2 linked regions of the Lytechinus pictus genome follow. The protein of the gene in region 1 purifies or fractionates together with the protein of each later gene. This does not show direct contact. Links are inferred from orthologs where the notes say so. Each region holds a gene or a part of one and is shown in the gene's direction. Other genes may lie near its edges.

The links. Proteins that work in one complex are often made in the same cells at the same time.
Region 2: the proteins of ribosomal RNA processing protein 1 homolog A-like (region 1) and serine/arginine-rich splicing factor 1B-like purify together in Homo sapiens (co-immunoprecipitation; 3 studies listed by BioGRID and IntAct, with this or other methods). This does not show direct contact. The link is inferred for Lytechinus pictus from reciprocal best matches to the Homo sapiens genes RRP1B and SRSF1.

The regions. Positions count from the first base shown.
Region 1 is NC_087252.1:14,096,353-14,103,512, reverse strand, and holds the start of ribosomal RNA processing protein 1 homolog A-like, read left to right. Parts: upstream 1-4,082; 5' UTR 4,083-4,141; intron 4,142-5,198; 5' UTR 5,199-5,269; coding exon 5,270-5,411; intron 5,412-7,160. UniProt on the Homo sapiens protein: Positively regulates DNA damage-induced apoptosis by acting as a transcriptional coactivator of proapoptotic target genes of the transcriptional activator E2F1.
Region 2 is NC_087246.1:14,835,501-14,843,097, reverse strand, and holds the start of serine/arginine-rich splicing factor 1B-like, read left to right. Parts: upstream 1-4,495; 5' UTR 4,496-4,594; intron 4,595-4,665; exon of another isoform or gene 4,666-5,086; intron 5,087-7,597. UniProt on the Homo sapiens protein: Plays a role in preventing exon skipping, ensuring the accuracy of splicing and regulating alternative splicing.

The DNA.
Region 1 (7,160 bases):
GTTTGTAAGATATTGATATCAGATATTTTTAATATGTTCAGTTTTTTGAAAATTGGATCAGTATGGGCTAAGTAAGGAGAACCTGTGCAAATTCTTATGGCTCTTTTCTGCAGTAGCAATAAGGAATTAACATTTCTTTTGGTTCCACAACCCCACGCAATATTAGCATAAGATAAATAAGATAATATAAAAGAATTGTACAATAGTATAATAGACTTTGGCATTAACGTATCTTTAAGTTTAAACATTATACCAATAAATCTAGAAATATGAGTTCTTAGATGCTGAAAATGCAAATTCCAATTTAAATGTTGATCGAGAACAACGCCAAGAAATTTAACATTAGTTTTCCTTTCAATTAGGGTATTGTCTATTAAGATTTGGCACTGGTCTTCCATAATCTTTTTTATTGGGTTGTGAAATATAATATAATTGGTTTTACTGAGGTTTAGAGATAACTTATTACATTGTAGCCAGTTGGTTAGTTTACGTAATTCTACATTGATAGTGACGATCATTTTATTAAAATCATGATGGGAATATAACAGTGTCGTATCATCTGCAAATAACACATAGCTAAGCATTTTGGAAGAATTTACAATGTCGTTCATATATATTATAAAAAGAAGCGGCCCAAGAATGGATCCTTGTGGGACGCCACACTGGAGTTCTAAAATTTGTGATACATTTAAGTCGACCTCAGTGTATTGAATTCTGTTCTTTAAATAATCTTTGAACCATGCAAGAGGCGTACCCCTTATACCATATAACGTTCAAGTTTATGTATTAATATTGAATGATCAAGCGTGTCGAACGCTTTTGAAAGGTCCAAAAATAATCCAGTTATATATTGTTTTTTTGCAAGGGATTTGGTTATTCTATCATATAAGTCCAAAACTGCTAATTCAGTTGAATGTTGTCTCCTAAAACCATATTGGGCGGTGCAAAGTAATTTGTTTTTGTCTAAAAAAATATATACCTGGATATGGATTATTCTTTCTAAGATTTTAGATAAAGAGGGTAAGATAGATATAGGTCGGTAATTTTCACATTGGATACGATTTCCCTTTTTGAATATTGGTACGACCCGTGCTAATTTGAAAGAATTCGGATAGCATCCAAGAGACAATGATAAGTTGAAAATATGACATAGTGGTTCAGCTATAAAAAAGATTATTTGTTTTAAGATAAGTGAGTTAATATCGTCATGACCACAAGTTTTGGTATTTTTAAGGGATTTTACTATGGATATAACTTCGTGTGGTCTTACGGGTTTGAAAAATATCGAGTTTTCAGCTCGATCAGGTAAAAAATCTTTAAAAGAGTGCTCATTAGTTATAAAAGTTTTTGATAACGTTGGCCCTATGTTTACAAAATATTTGTTTAAGATGTTTACAATTTTCTGTGGGTCACGTGTCTTTTCTTTTTCAGAGTACATTTCTTTTGTGAATTCTGTTCTTTTGCCCCTACCTAAGATATTGTTTAAGATGGACCAGGTAGCAGACATATTTCCCGATACTCTTTTAAGTTTATTTGTATAATACATTTTGCGTGATGCTCTAATAACGGCTGTTAGTTTGTTACGATAAGCCTTAAATATGTTATGTTGGACGGTATTGCTAGGATTGCGTATATACAACTTATATAATCGGTTCTTTTTTCGGATAGAATTCATTATCGCATTAGTAATCCAGGGATTATGAATATTATTTTTTCTTTTCTTTTTGAGCAAACAAGGTATATTTTTATCATAATATTCCTTAAATTTTTGAAGAAAAAGTTCATATGCTATGTTCACGTCATGTGTTTCTTGAAATACATCTGACCAAGTTTCTATTATAAGGTCGATTTTAAGGGAGTTTATATTTTCGATTGAATATTGTCTATTAAAATATTCATTAGATTCACATCGTTTCCCTTGTGTTTTTCTTGATATTGTAAAAATAGGAAGGTGATCTGATATATCAGAATATAAAATACCACTTTGGAAATCTTCTCTTACAACATTTGTGAAAATGTTATCTAAAAGCGTTGCGGATGCCGGGGATACTCTGGTAGGCTTATCTATTAATGGATAGAGGGCGTAACTATTCAGAAACGACATGAATGTATTATAAGTCTGGTCGTTTTTTGTAAGTAAGTTTACATTAAAGTCGCCCATTAGATAAATATGTTTACCACCTTTCGAAAAATTACTGATACATGATTCTAATTGAAGAGTGAATGATTCAATATTCGTACCGGGTGGACGATACGCTACACCTACAATTACATTTTTACATTTGACATTGGTAATTTCTACAAAAAGCATCTCAAAGTCTGGTGATTCGGACAGAGGGGTCGTTAATTGAAAGGAAATATCTTCTTTTACATATAATACTACGCCTCCTCCACGTCCGTGTAATCTGTCCGACCGTAACATCTGATAACCTTCTAAATTGAATAAAGAAGGAGAATTAGGGTTTAACCATGATTCACTTACTCCAATGATGGATAGCGAATTGTTCAGGGATTTAAGTAGATTAGATACACTGTCAAAGTTGCGACTTAAACTCCGGGCATTTAAATGTAGTAAGCTGAAATAAGACTTGTTGTTATTATGACAGGAATTAAACTCATCGGGTAAATAATAGTGGCATTCATTAGATTTGAGTTCTTCTTCAGAAAAAGACATGTTTAAAGACTCAACCATCTAAGGATTTACATTGTTCGTTTATGCAGTACACTACTATCGTTAAGACACTGGCATTGATATCTAAAGACATGTTCTTAAAGTGGAAATGGCAATTGTTACAATATGACTTTGAGAGACTAAATACGCAGGAAAAACATATACAAAAGCCCATTAAAGATCTAATATAGAATATGTACACACTATAAGCAAAGATCTAAACAATATAATGGTGTATAATAATGAAATAGAATATAAAAGTATAAAACAATTACTATATATTATTTAGCGCATAAACAATTCGGATAATCTGGAGGAAAATTCGTCAATTTTAGGTTTGCCTTCAGCAAATATATAGACACATGATAATATAATAATGTAAGTATGCATATATCAATGGTATGTTGATAGGCATTGGATACAGACAGTAATTTAACCCATAAATTTATCGGGTTGAAGTTGTATTGAGACATACAAAGAGTTATTCAAATGCAGAATATAAAATTACAATCTTTATGATTATGTATACTAGTATATATATATATTAATGTTGAGTTACAATACAATGTGGTTTGATTTAAACAACAGTTTCGTAAATATTATAGAAGGGTATTTAATATAACACAGTTTTTCAGGATCTACTAAAATTGCCCATATGGAATAGACAAACTGTAGCGTTAATAGAGTTTATAAGGCAAGAAGGTCACTTTCTCTGAAGATTTGTTTCTTCATTGAAGTGTTAGGATCTGTCGTTTTAACCGAGGCGATAATACGGCCATCACTTGTCCATGCCGCGTTTACATTTTTGTGTTGGCTTGTCTTCTTGAGGAGTTTGAGGGTTGTCAGTGTCAAATCTTCTTGAATAGAAATTCCACTCCCTTTCAATGTCTTTTTCGCTTTCATAAATTGCGTCTTCTGTTTGTAGGAACACAATTTAACGATGATGGGTTTAGCCTTGGTTGGATCTTTTTGACCTACTCGATGGGATCGATCGATGTGGTGTTTTTTCAACTTGAACCCAAGCTGATCCTTGGCAATGTCAATTGCTATTTGATCGGTATCTTCACCTATTTTCTCTTTCACACCAAAAATTCTAATGCTGTTTCTCCTTGTATACTGCTCGAGAATATTCAATTGGCGCTCCACGTCTTCTCTTTTCTCGATTTCATTCTGTAGCTGTTTCTCCAGAATATATGTTTCTTTCTCTTTACTCTCCAAAGAATTTTGAAGTTGAATGATGGCTGATTCATTTTCTTCTATGTGGCGACGCATGTTTTCACATTGAACATTCACTACTTTATCCATTGTTTCTTTACAGACACTACAGTCTCCAGTGTTTTCATGAATTCTTTTGTTTTGAGTAATTTAGTGAGAATTGTTTGAAGGTGATAATCATCATTAGGTGAATGTTCAGACATATCAATCGTAACAGTGTCATCAGCTATATCACATTCAGAATCATTTGGATTGGTATGTTTCACCTTTTTCTTGCTTTTAGGGGTGCGCTTCACTCTGGCGCCATCCCCCTTACCCGCCATGATCGGACACCGAAGCGAACGTAAGGCTTAGGCGGGAACAGTATACACACGGATATATGTGACGATCAAAAGTACATATGGGACTGAGAGAATATATATAGTTACGTTCAAATGCTGATCGTTCGGCAATGCAGATTTGCTGTTTCTCCCTCCAGATCAGTCCAATAACGAAAATTTTGTGGCAATTACATCACGAAAACATAGGTGTTTACAATCACAATTAAGTCAAGTCATAAAAAATAGAAAAGAAATCAGTATCTTCTTGCAAATCTTGGCAATAATCTCAGGACGCCAAGACCACGTCACATCACGTCTATCTATCCGCTGTCTATTTCTTTTTGCCAAAATAAGAAAAAATCAATCAAGTTTAGTTATTCAAATCCATAACAACAACAAGAATAACATGAAAAAAACATCCGATGTTCATATCCGAAGATACGCTTTAGAGAGAAATGAATGATTATTCTTTTTGAAACCATTAATTGATTTCAATTATTAAAAAATTGTTAAAATATGATCATATTACCACTGGTGGGATGGAACACCCTATTAACAAAAGTTGTTTTTCGTCGGGGTCCTTTTATGTCATGTGTTAAAAAATATCATATACATAAACATTTCATTCATTTTCATCTTGAACCTCCACCCATCTGTTAAGTCCTGGAAAAGAATGTTTTTATTTAATAACAATATACACAAATTGCGAGGGAAACAAAAGGATTGATGGCATACTATAATCATCACTATAATCATCGATCATGATCAAACTTTTCATTTTTTCATCATCATTATTATAAATTTTCTACCCTAAATTATTGGGGGGGGGGGGATGATAATACAGGCCATCCCCCCCACTTGAAATATTGGGGGGGATATATCCCCCCATCCCCCCCGTGATCGACACCCATGTCTGTTATGATGTTATCAGCAAATCATTACACTTCTTCTCTTTTTTCTTCTACTAAAAAAAATAAAATTATGAATACTAGTATGCGAAAACCGAAGGTCTGTACCCGAAGACTACACCCATGCTCCTGTAATGTAAACTACGTGATCAAAGATGGCAGCGCCATGTGGACAATCGCCGCACAGCGTCGAAATTCATTTTGCTCAGAGACTTGCTTCAAATGAAAAGAAAATACGTGACAGGGCAATCAAACGATTGAGACACTGGATAGCTGCAAGATCTCAAAAGGATGGCAGTAAGTATGGGGTACTGTTGGAGAATTTCAACGAATCAGCTTGCATTAATTTTTTTTGCACGGTCCCATTCGTTCGTTTTCGTGGGAGGTCTTGTTGCCCCAAATAAATAAGAGTATAAAGACGTGCCAGGACACTTAGATCTAGGCCTAAGCATAATCATGAGCTAGACCAGGGGCAGCGGAACTGGGGGTGGGAAAGGGGGGGGGGGGGCAAGTGCCCCCCAAAATATTCCCTGTAGACTGTAGTAGGAAAAAATTCCCTTTTTGTAGCAATGTAGGTATGTGCGAATACGGGCGCATCGCGAGCGCTGGTTTTGGCTGCACGGTTTTCGCGCGGGTTTCGCTGCAAGTGGCATCGCCTCTGTCTGGGAGGCTCATCAAAAATGGGGTTTCATGCGCATGCGCACATAGTTGATGCAATCTCGTGCCTTGATACAGACAGTTGAAAATGTGCTCTTTCTGTACATATAAGTTTCAATGTGGATACTCGCCTGTGATTTGAAGTGTGGATATCGGAGCTTGAAAGTTCATCAAATTTTTGGATGCGCAAATGATCGAAATTTTTTAATGGTAAGTAGAACTACGATCCAATTATGTATCTGAATTGTTATAGAATATATTCAAATCAACAAAAAAATTAAAATTAAATTAAAAGATTCTATCGTTGAGCTGTCCAGATATAAGAGAAGCGAGCTACCCTTGTCACAGCCGGTCTCTTGGCAGTCGAGCTACCCGATGCGGTGGGCTCCCTTGAACCTTGAAGGAATAATCCCTTAAGCAGCTCTTCCAAGCTAAACTGGGATGGGATGTGCTGTGAGTGTGACAGAAGGTGATGGTGCAGACAATTTTGTTGGAATTCTATTTACAATAAAATTGGTGAAGTGCAAGTAAAAATCATGCTCCTAGTGCTTACAGCATCCTGGAACCTACATGAGGCTTTAACCCTCTGATGACAGGAAGGGCAGCCCCCCGGAAGACAGCAACTGATGGGGCAGTAACTGCTTTAGCTGGTAGATGGTTCCAGATACGAATGGTACGGGGATAATATGAAAATTTGTATGCATCAATCGTTGCTTGTGGTACAGAGAGTTTTAGCATATGATCTCTTCTACTGATGTATGGAGCCTGGGTTATGAAGTGTGGAAGCTGGATATTCACAAACTGGTGGTATATCTGATAGAGCATGGTGCTTTGTGCAAGGATACGACGTGTGTGCAGCTGGTCCCATCCCAAATTTGAGACAAGTCCTGAGGCTGATGTAGATTTTCTATAGTCGCGGGTCACAAAGCGAGCAGCTGTTTTCTGTACCCTTTCCAGGCTTGCAGCCGTAGTAGAGGTGTGGGGATTCCAGGCTTCAGCACCATACTCAAGCTGCGGTCGAACCAAGGCCATATACGCATTTGATTTGGCCTTTTCAGAACAAGGTGAGAGAGTTCTTCTCAGCAACCCAAGGGTTTTGCTGGCCTTGTTCGCAATAAGTTGACAGTGCGTATTCCATCGGAGGTCTTTGGAGATGGTGACTCCGAGGTATTTGTATTGGTCGACCTTTGCTATTACCTCATTGGAAAGCCTGTAGTTGTGTTGTATGGGAGCTCGCTTCCTAGTAATGGTAAGGGAAGCACACTTCTTGACATTAAAAGCCATAAGCCACTTTGCTGACCAATCTGATAGGGTTTGAAGATCTTGCTGCAGGATGGAGACATCATGTGCTGTGTTGATATCTCGGTATATCACACTGTCGTCTGCAAA
Region 2 (7,597 bases), on another chromosome or scaffold:
ATAAATGGGGGGGGGGGGATTGTCATTCCTTGTTTCTTTTGAAAATGGTCCGTTGAACAATTTACTTTGGCTAGGATGCAGAAAATCAAAACACTCTCTTGAAATTTAGAAAAGAATCCATTGTGTTGGTGCCCAATTTTTGATTGTGGGTTTAGATTTGATTTCTGTTTGATATGCTTTCTTTAGGACCAGTCAATGCTTTTTAATTGAAAGATGATGAGTCTTTGGATGTATGATGCTGGTCTCACAGTGAGCCTCAATGTTGATGTTTTTATTTATTTATTAATTTTTGAGCATTTAATTTTAGTCCATGTAATACATGTCTATAATAACTAACATTATTTGATTGTCTTCACTATGAAGGAATTGTGAATAAAGGGGTAATGAATGTGCAAGTAATCGAAGTGTTCTTAAACGCTGTATCAAAATGCCATTGAGTGGAAAGATATTGAATATATATTGATGATATTATTACTAGTATTTTACATACATTATTTCCTTAAGTTGTAACAATAGCTGTATATAAGCAAAATTAATACATTATATTTATTGCAATAAAGTGCATAGAGAATTATCTTGCTTAATACAAATACTTGTCTATTTATCGTAGGTGCTATTAAACAAAATTTAGTTTTGCTAACTGAGCAATATTAGTTAAAATTTACATCTGTAGCATTTAATTTTATTGCAATATTGAATTTGATATTGTCACTTGATGTTATTGTTGCTTAATTGCTATCTGTATTGAGCAATCTGCAGTGATTTGCTTTATATGATACTTGTGTAAGATATATGATAGGATATTGTTGTGGCATAGTAATCCTTTCCAGCAAGTCAATGTATTCTTGTATCATTTGATTTCGTATTGCCAAATTCTGACCCTGTGCTTTCTTTCTGTTCCTTCTACTTTTGCATTTACTTATGATAGTAAAATAAAATTCATTTTAAATATTCTTTTACTTATCCTTCATACATATATTTGCTTTTTTTTGTTCTCATCATGCAACATCTTTATTAGATTTTCCCCTATATTTTTACTTCAAAATTATTTCTAAATATCTTGTGACTGACTATTCTTTGATCCTAAATCATTTTGATTTCATTTTATTTCCCCCATAAACATCACAGCCTACACTTTTATTTTTGATTTATCAAGTTTATTTATTTTATTAAGTGTAATACCCAGAGACATTCATCATTTTAAAAAAATATACACCTGTATTATTTAATGCTTCTTTTGTACATTTTGGTAGTATGAAATTCTAGGTGTAATTTTTACTTTCTTAACATTAAAACAGCTGTTTTAATGATATATTGTGCTGAACCATATTTGTATATGTTTATCAAAGTAGGCTGTTAACTTTTAATATCCAGGCATTTATGAATTATTTTCTTATATTGGCACAATCTATAAATATTTTCAATCAATTGTAGTGAGAAATATGCATGTATAGTACGCAATTTCTTTTCCAGGTCAATCATATATGTTGCGAGTGAAGAATATTTTAGATAATTGGTGATATGTCCTTTGTACAACTCTAATATACTTTGTTATATGAGAGTGAGAGAAATTCAATTTTTCTCCATTGACTGAAATTAATTCATTTTTTTATTATGAATAATTTAAGATTCATCAGCCTGACGGTGAGGTGTCATAAAGTGGATGTTTGCTTGATCTTATTTTGATTATTCCGGTGTTGCCATTTGGTTTTACCTCTGTTGTTGCATGTTTGACCCCCTACATATGGGACATTCTTGAAATTATTACATGTTTTCTAGTTTGAATTATAATGGTTTTAAGTGCAGTTAAAGAGGAAAACTGGATTATACAAAAAGGTTGATTTTTTTTTTCTTGAATTTCCAACATTTAGAAAATTGATTTTATCAAAGTGTACTAATAAAAAAGGCCTCATTTATTGCATCAGCATCTTTTAATCAGTGTTTTAAAGGAAAATAAAACACAAAATGTGTCATGATTAGGCGATGGAAACTTCAAAATTACTGCTTTTATGCAGATTGATAAAATTTAAACCCTCAGAGGCACTTTTATATTCTTTTTAATAAAAAAATGTAGCAAAAATAGAAATATACCAATTTCAAGAATTAAAAAATTAGTAATCTTGTTCTGAATGGGTCACTGATGATAACATAATAAAGTTTATAAATTGTTGCAGATGGCGTGTTCTTACATAGATTTATGATTGTTTTATCAATCACAAGGATGGAAAGCCAATTGAATGGCATGAATCTAGAATGCACATGTCAGTTCAAAGTGTTTTTAAATACTCATGCATGCATCGTTATGTGAAAAATCCTTGTGCTCTTCGTTGTTTTTAAAAGGACAGATGTACATGTACATTTCCTATATGAAATTGATGGATTATCCATATTTTTCACTACTTTTAGAATGCGGACAACCTGGGGCCCGTCTTACAAAGAGTTGCGATTGATCCGATCAATCACAACTATGGACGGCCAGCAACGTCAACATCTAAAATGCATGAACGTTCAAAATGTTTTCTACATATGACGTAAATTTACATAAATTAATTGTTTTATTGACAATTTGGTATGTTCGCCTTTGTTTACAAAAGGACATTTTGAAAATTTTATGTAGAAAAAATTATGACACTGAAGAATTTCCATAGAGTTACGATTGATTGGATCAATCGTAACTCTTTGTATGAAGGGGCCCTGATCTTACAGTTTGTATCGATTAGGTTCGAGACCAACAACCTTACTTTTATCACCTTTCTAGTAGTAAGAATATCATGCGTCTATTGAGCTTCAATACCTCATATTTCTGCAACTGAAAAAGTGGCTGCATTTGTAACAAACAGTTTCAAGAGTCACATTTTTTTTAAAGATATACTATTGGTAAACAACTTGTGCTGTAAGCTGACATATTCTGCCATAGTTCTTAATGGCTTAACAAAACAGATACAATGAGTTATGAATAAACTGAATTTATTGCAAGTAAAGGGTTGGTAAAAGGAAAATTGTCACTAATATATTGGAACTAAGGCTTTATATGAGAGTAAATGTTATTTTAAAAATGGTATGTTATCATTAGGCCTATGCCTACTGTTTGATATAAAAAGGTTGTCACAAAATGATGGAAAGAATAGGCAAAGAAAGTCTCCTGACTAGGCTCTTTTGGATTTTAGAATAAGGGAATTGTGGTCTTTATTATATTTCTAGGAAATTAATGCCTATTTTTCCACACTGATAGATTTAGAGCATACTAGATTGATATACTTTCTTTGGTTACTTTTACCTGAAAGTTGATGCTGTAGGTAACAGAATGGGATAACAATTATGTCAACTTCTCATTGAGAGTTGTAGTGAAAAGTAATCCCAATGAAGAGCTCTTTAAATGCCTGTCATATGAATATTCAGAATTTGTGCCTTTCTGAATAGATTGAAAGATGAACTGTATTAAAAAATGTTATATACATGGAAATAATCAACTTTTAATCATATGACTTAAACAATATTTTAATAGAAAAAAGTCTGAAAACAAAGTAATTTTCAGGGTTTTTTGTTCTTTTGCTTTTCTCCCTTTATTTTTTTAAAGGTCAAATCCACTCCAGAAAATGTTGCTTTAGGAAATAGAGAAAAATCAAACTTGCATAACGCTGAAAATTTCATCAAAATCGGATGTAAAATAAAAAAGTTATGACATTTTAAAGTTTCCCTTATTTTTCACAAAACAGCAATAGTATGCAAAACTCAGTGACATGCAAATGAGACAGACGATGATGTCCCTCACCATTTCTTTTGTTATTTGAATTATACAACATTTTTTCTCTTTTACAGATTTGACAATTGATTGTTTCACTGATTTGTCAATGAGGAGAAAATAAGAACATTTCAGATATCATATAATAAAAAACAAAAGAAATAGTGAGTGGATGACGTCATCAGTCTCCTCATTTGCATATACCAACCAGGATGTGCATACAACTGTTTTTTTAAATTAAGTGAAACTTTTTTTTTATGTCAAAACTTTCTTATTTTACATCTGATTTTGATGACGTTTGCTTAATGTTTGGCTATGCTTGTTGGCTTTTCTCTTTTTATTCAAATCAGCTTTTTGTTGTGGTGGATCATACATAAATGTTTAGTCTTCAAAAGTAGCAAAAGTGAGAGAAAAAGAGAGGTGCAGGAAGAGAGAGAGGGGGGGGGGAGACAGTAGGTCCATGATAAAACTATAAAGAATAAGGGGGAGGGGCTTTTTTGTACAATCCTGCTTATGATTTTTTTCACATATGTGCAGCTAATGAGGATTCAATTGTAGTGTTGAAAATACAATTAAAAAAAATATCATTAAAACAAATTTATTATATAGGGATAACTTAATGTGTATCGGAACAGATTGTTTCATTTCTAAATTTGAAAAATGTTTGTATTAATAGACTATTCTCGACTTAGACTTCGACTTCATGTAAACACAAACCCGAAGTTTTCCGAGCTTAGCTTCGGATCGTCCTTCGGATCACATCGGCTATATATCGATCAAAATCGCGGCGTCGTTGTTTAACGTTACCTTTTTTTTATGCAGAGAGCCCATTCACCAGTCGCGAGGACAAGGGTAATTCAATTCACAATTTGTCGATTTTTGTGTGCACTGTTTATAATATCGTTGATTTCGCATACATATTTGCGAATCAAAGTTGTACTTATTATTACTGACATGGATGGTGGTTGGATGGTGATGACGGTACATGTAATTTACATGTATTTAGTGTGTTCGATAATGTTGCAACCTGATTTGAAATGCCTGAACTCGCAGTGCAGTGCATGCACGCGCGCACAGCATTGTATACCGCGTGCCTTAATTGTGTGTGGATCGAGATTGGAGCTGAGACTTTACTGAGTGAGAGCGAGATTTTTGTTTTGAAGTAATCTTTGTCATTCATTCACATAAAATTCATACATAATCAAGAAAATATAAAACAAACTTGCAGCTGTGATTATACACAAATCAAATTACACTGTGAACATAGAATAGCAGACAAATTGTAATTGTATCAGATTCAGAAGTTGACAGAACCATGACATGAGAACAGGGGGCCGTTTGTATGTAAGTTAAGCATGTTAAGACTTAAGTCTAAGACTAAGAGCGTCTGTAACTTAATTTATGAACGACTGGTGATCCTTTTGTACGCACTAAAAACTATCGCCAATGAATATACCATAAGAAAGGATCACTAGTCATTCTTAAAGCCGCTCTTGTCTTACTCTTACGAACAGCTTCATGAAACGCCCACCAGAGATAATCCGAAATCATGCAAAAATAACATTTCAACAACTTATGTATGCAGCTAAAGCAATTTTAAAAAAAGATGTAACGTAACAGCTATGCAAACTGAAAGGACTGAAACTGAAATATAAAAAATAATATCCATTTGCACTTATTTGAGTTATATTTAAGATTTTCAGTTATATTTGAGTTTTGAACCTATTCGATGATGGCGAGAGTCAGCGTGCGCTAATTAAGATATTTCTGAAAACCACGAAATTACGAGAAGCTGAATATTTTGGGTTGAATCTGTTTTGCAATCGGATTTGACTAATGTGAGTTAGCGTGAGGCTACGGCTACAAATGTAGATCGTATGACTGTGTAGGCCCTAAGCTATTAGTAAATGACTATTATTTGAGTTATACAAGTCGGGCCTAGTTACGATCCCATTTAATGGTTGCGAGAGTATGTGTGTTTATTTTTTAGTTCCGATCGAATGAAATAAGATGCAATGAATTTGACCGAGGCGAGTGTAAGTGCGAGTCTACTATTACTAAAAGTCTAAAACCAGACAGGCCTACATCATTCAGCTCACGCACGTGCTGTCCTGTCTGGACGTGTCTGGACTGAATCGTCCGATATATATTTGGTCACATTACACTCGCTACACCTTCAAATGGGATCGTACTTGGAATATTTTCATTTTCATGTCGGGTTTCTCCCCATTCCCCAAATTATAGCCAAGCTTATCATTTCTCAACTTCTGAAACATAATCACACTTCTAACAAAGATTCAAGACAAGATTTAATTACAGTAACAGTAACTAATCACTTACATTCATCACCAGTAAGTTTTACTGCAAAACACGTCAATTCACAACCGACCACATACTCGGCGGGCACACATCATAAACCTTTCTGGCACGATACCGCCTTATAAGTATTGTTGTTTACGTGATGATGGATATCAAAATTTATAGTGGATATGCCATTTAAACTGAAATAAAGGAAAATGTGTGTTTTGTAATTTATATATTAAATATTAATTCATGAAAGATTTTCAATTGACAATTATCATTCTTTCATAATTCTCATCATTCATCGCTATCATCTTCACCAATCTTGATAATCATTTAAAATCATTTTCACTAGCCATCACTCATCATCGTCATTCATTTCAGTTTCACTCTCATTATCATTCATCACAAAGTCCGCCATTATCAAATCACAAAAACAACATGACACACGCAATCAACATTTATTCCACGTTTTCAACTTTTCATAGTTTCAAAAATAATCATCTTCATTTGTAACCAAAGTTGGTGTGAGAAAAAGCAGAATTCATTTTGCACTTGATGAATAAATTACAAGAAACAACATGACACACGCAATCAACATTCATTCGACGTTTTCAACTTTTCATAGTTTCAAAAATAATCATCTTCATTGGTAACCAAAGTTGCTATGAGAAAAAGTAGAATTCATTTTGCATTTGATGAATAAATTACAAGAAACAACATGACACACCCGATTTACACGATCAACATTTATTTGACGCTTAAATGGTTTCAAATTATCTGCATTCTTCACTCGCATTGAAAGTCGAGGTAAGAAAATATACGATGAGTTACGCATTTGAAATCATCAAAACATAAGACGGGGAAAGAAAAACGATCTTAAGCGACACCATAGTAAAATAGCCATCGTTGTCAGAACGGAACTTTACTCCATTCACGGACGGTCATGCTCCAAAACTGATATAAGGTCATGTTTCAAAACTGATATAAAAATGATGGTTTTCGGCGGGAATATATTACCGAAGAAGATTAATTGATATTGGTGATTATATTGGCGACTAAAACTTATAAATTTTGTTGGTGAGTCTTACTAAATTTAATGAGTTTTTGTGACAGGAAAGTGGTGAATCAGTGTCCACGGATACCCGAACCTGAAAAATGAAAACCGTTATCCGTCCACGCGGGCGGAAACCGTTCGGATATCCGTATGGTGGCAGCACTATATGAGATAGCGATCGATCTTGTAACAAGTTTGGAACTAAAATTAAAATAAAAATTTTAGTATTGAGATTGTCCCAGAAAACAATCAGTCAATAGATTTTGAATCATGTACGGTATGCATTTCATAACTTCTCGCAGGCATAAGCATAATTCAGAGTTAGACCCTTGGCCTAACTTTTTAGTAATATTGAGATTATATTAGCGAACATCTGATGTTAAGACGGATGACGGCGAAAAACGCCGCTTAACTAGATCTACAGCATCTATGGAAAAGGGTGCGTTTTTGCACCCTCCTCGCTCAGATCTAGATCTACCCTTAAATTTTGCTTTTTT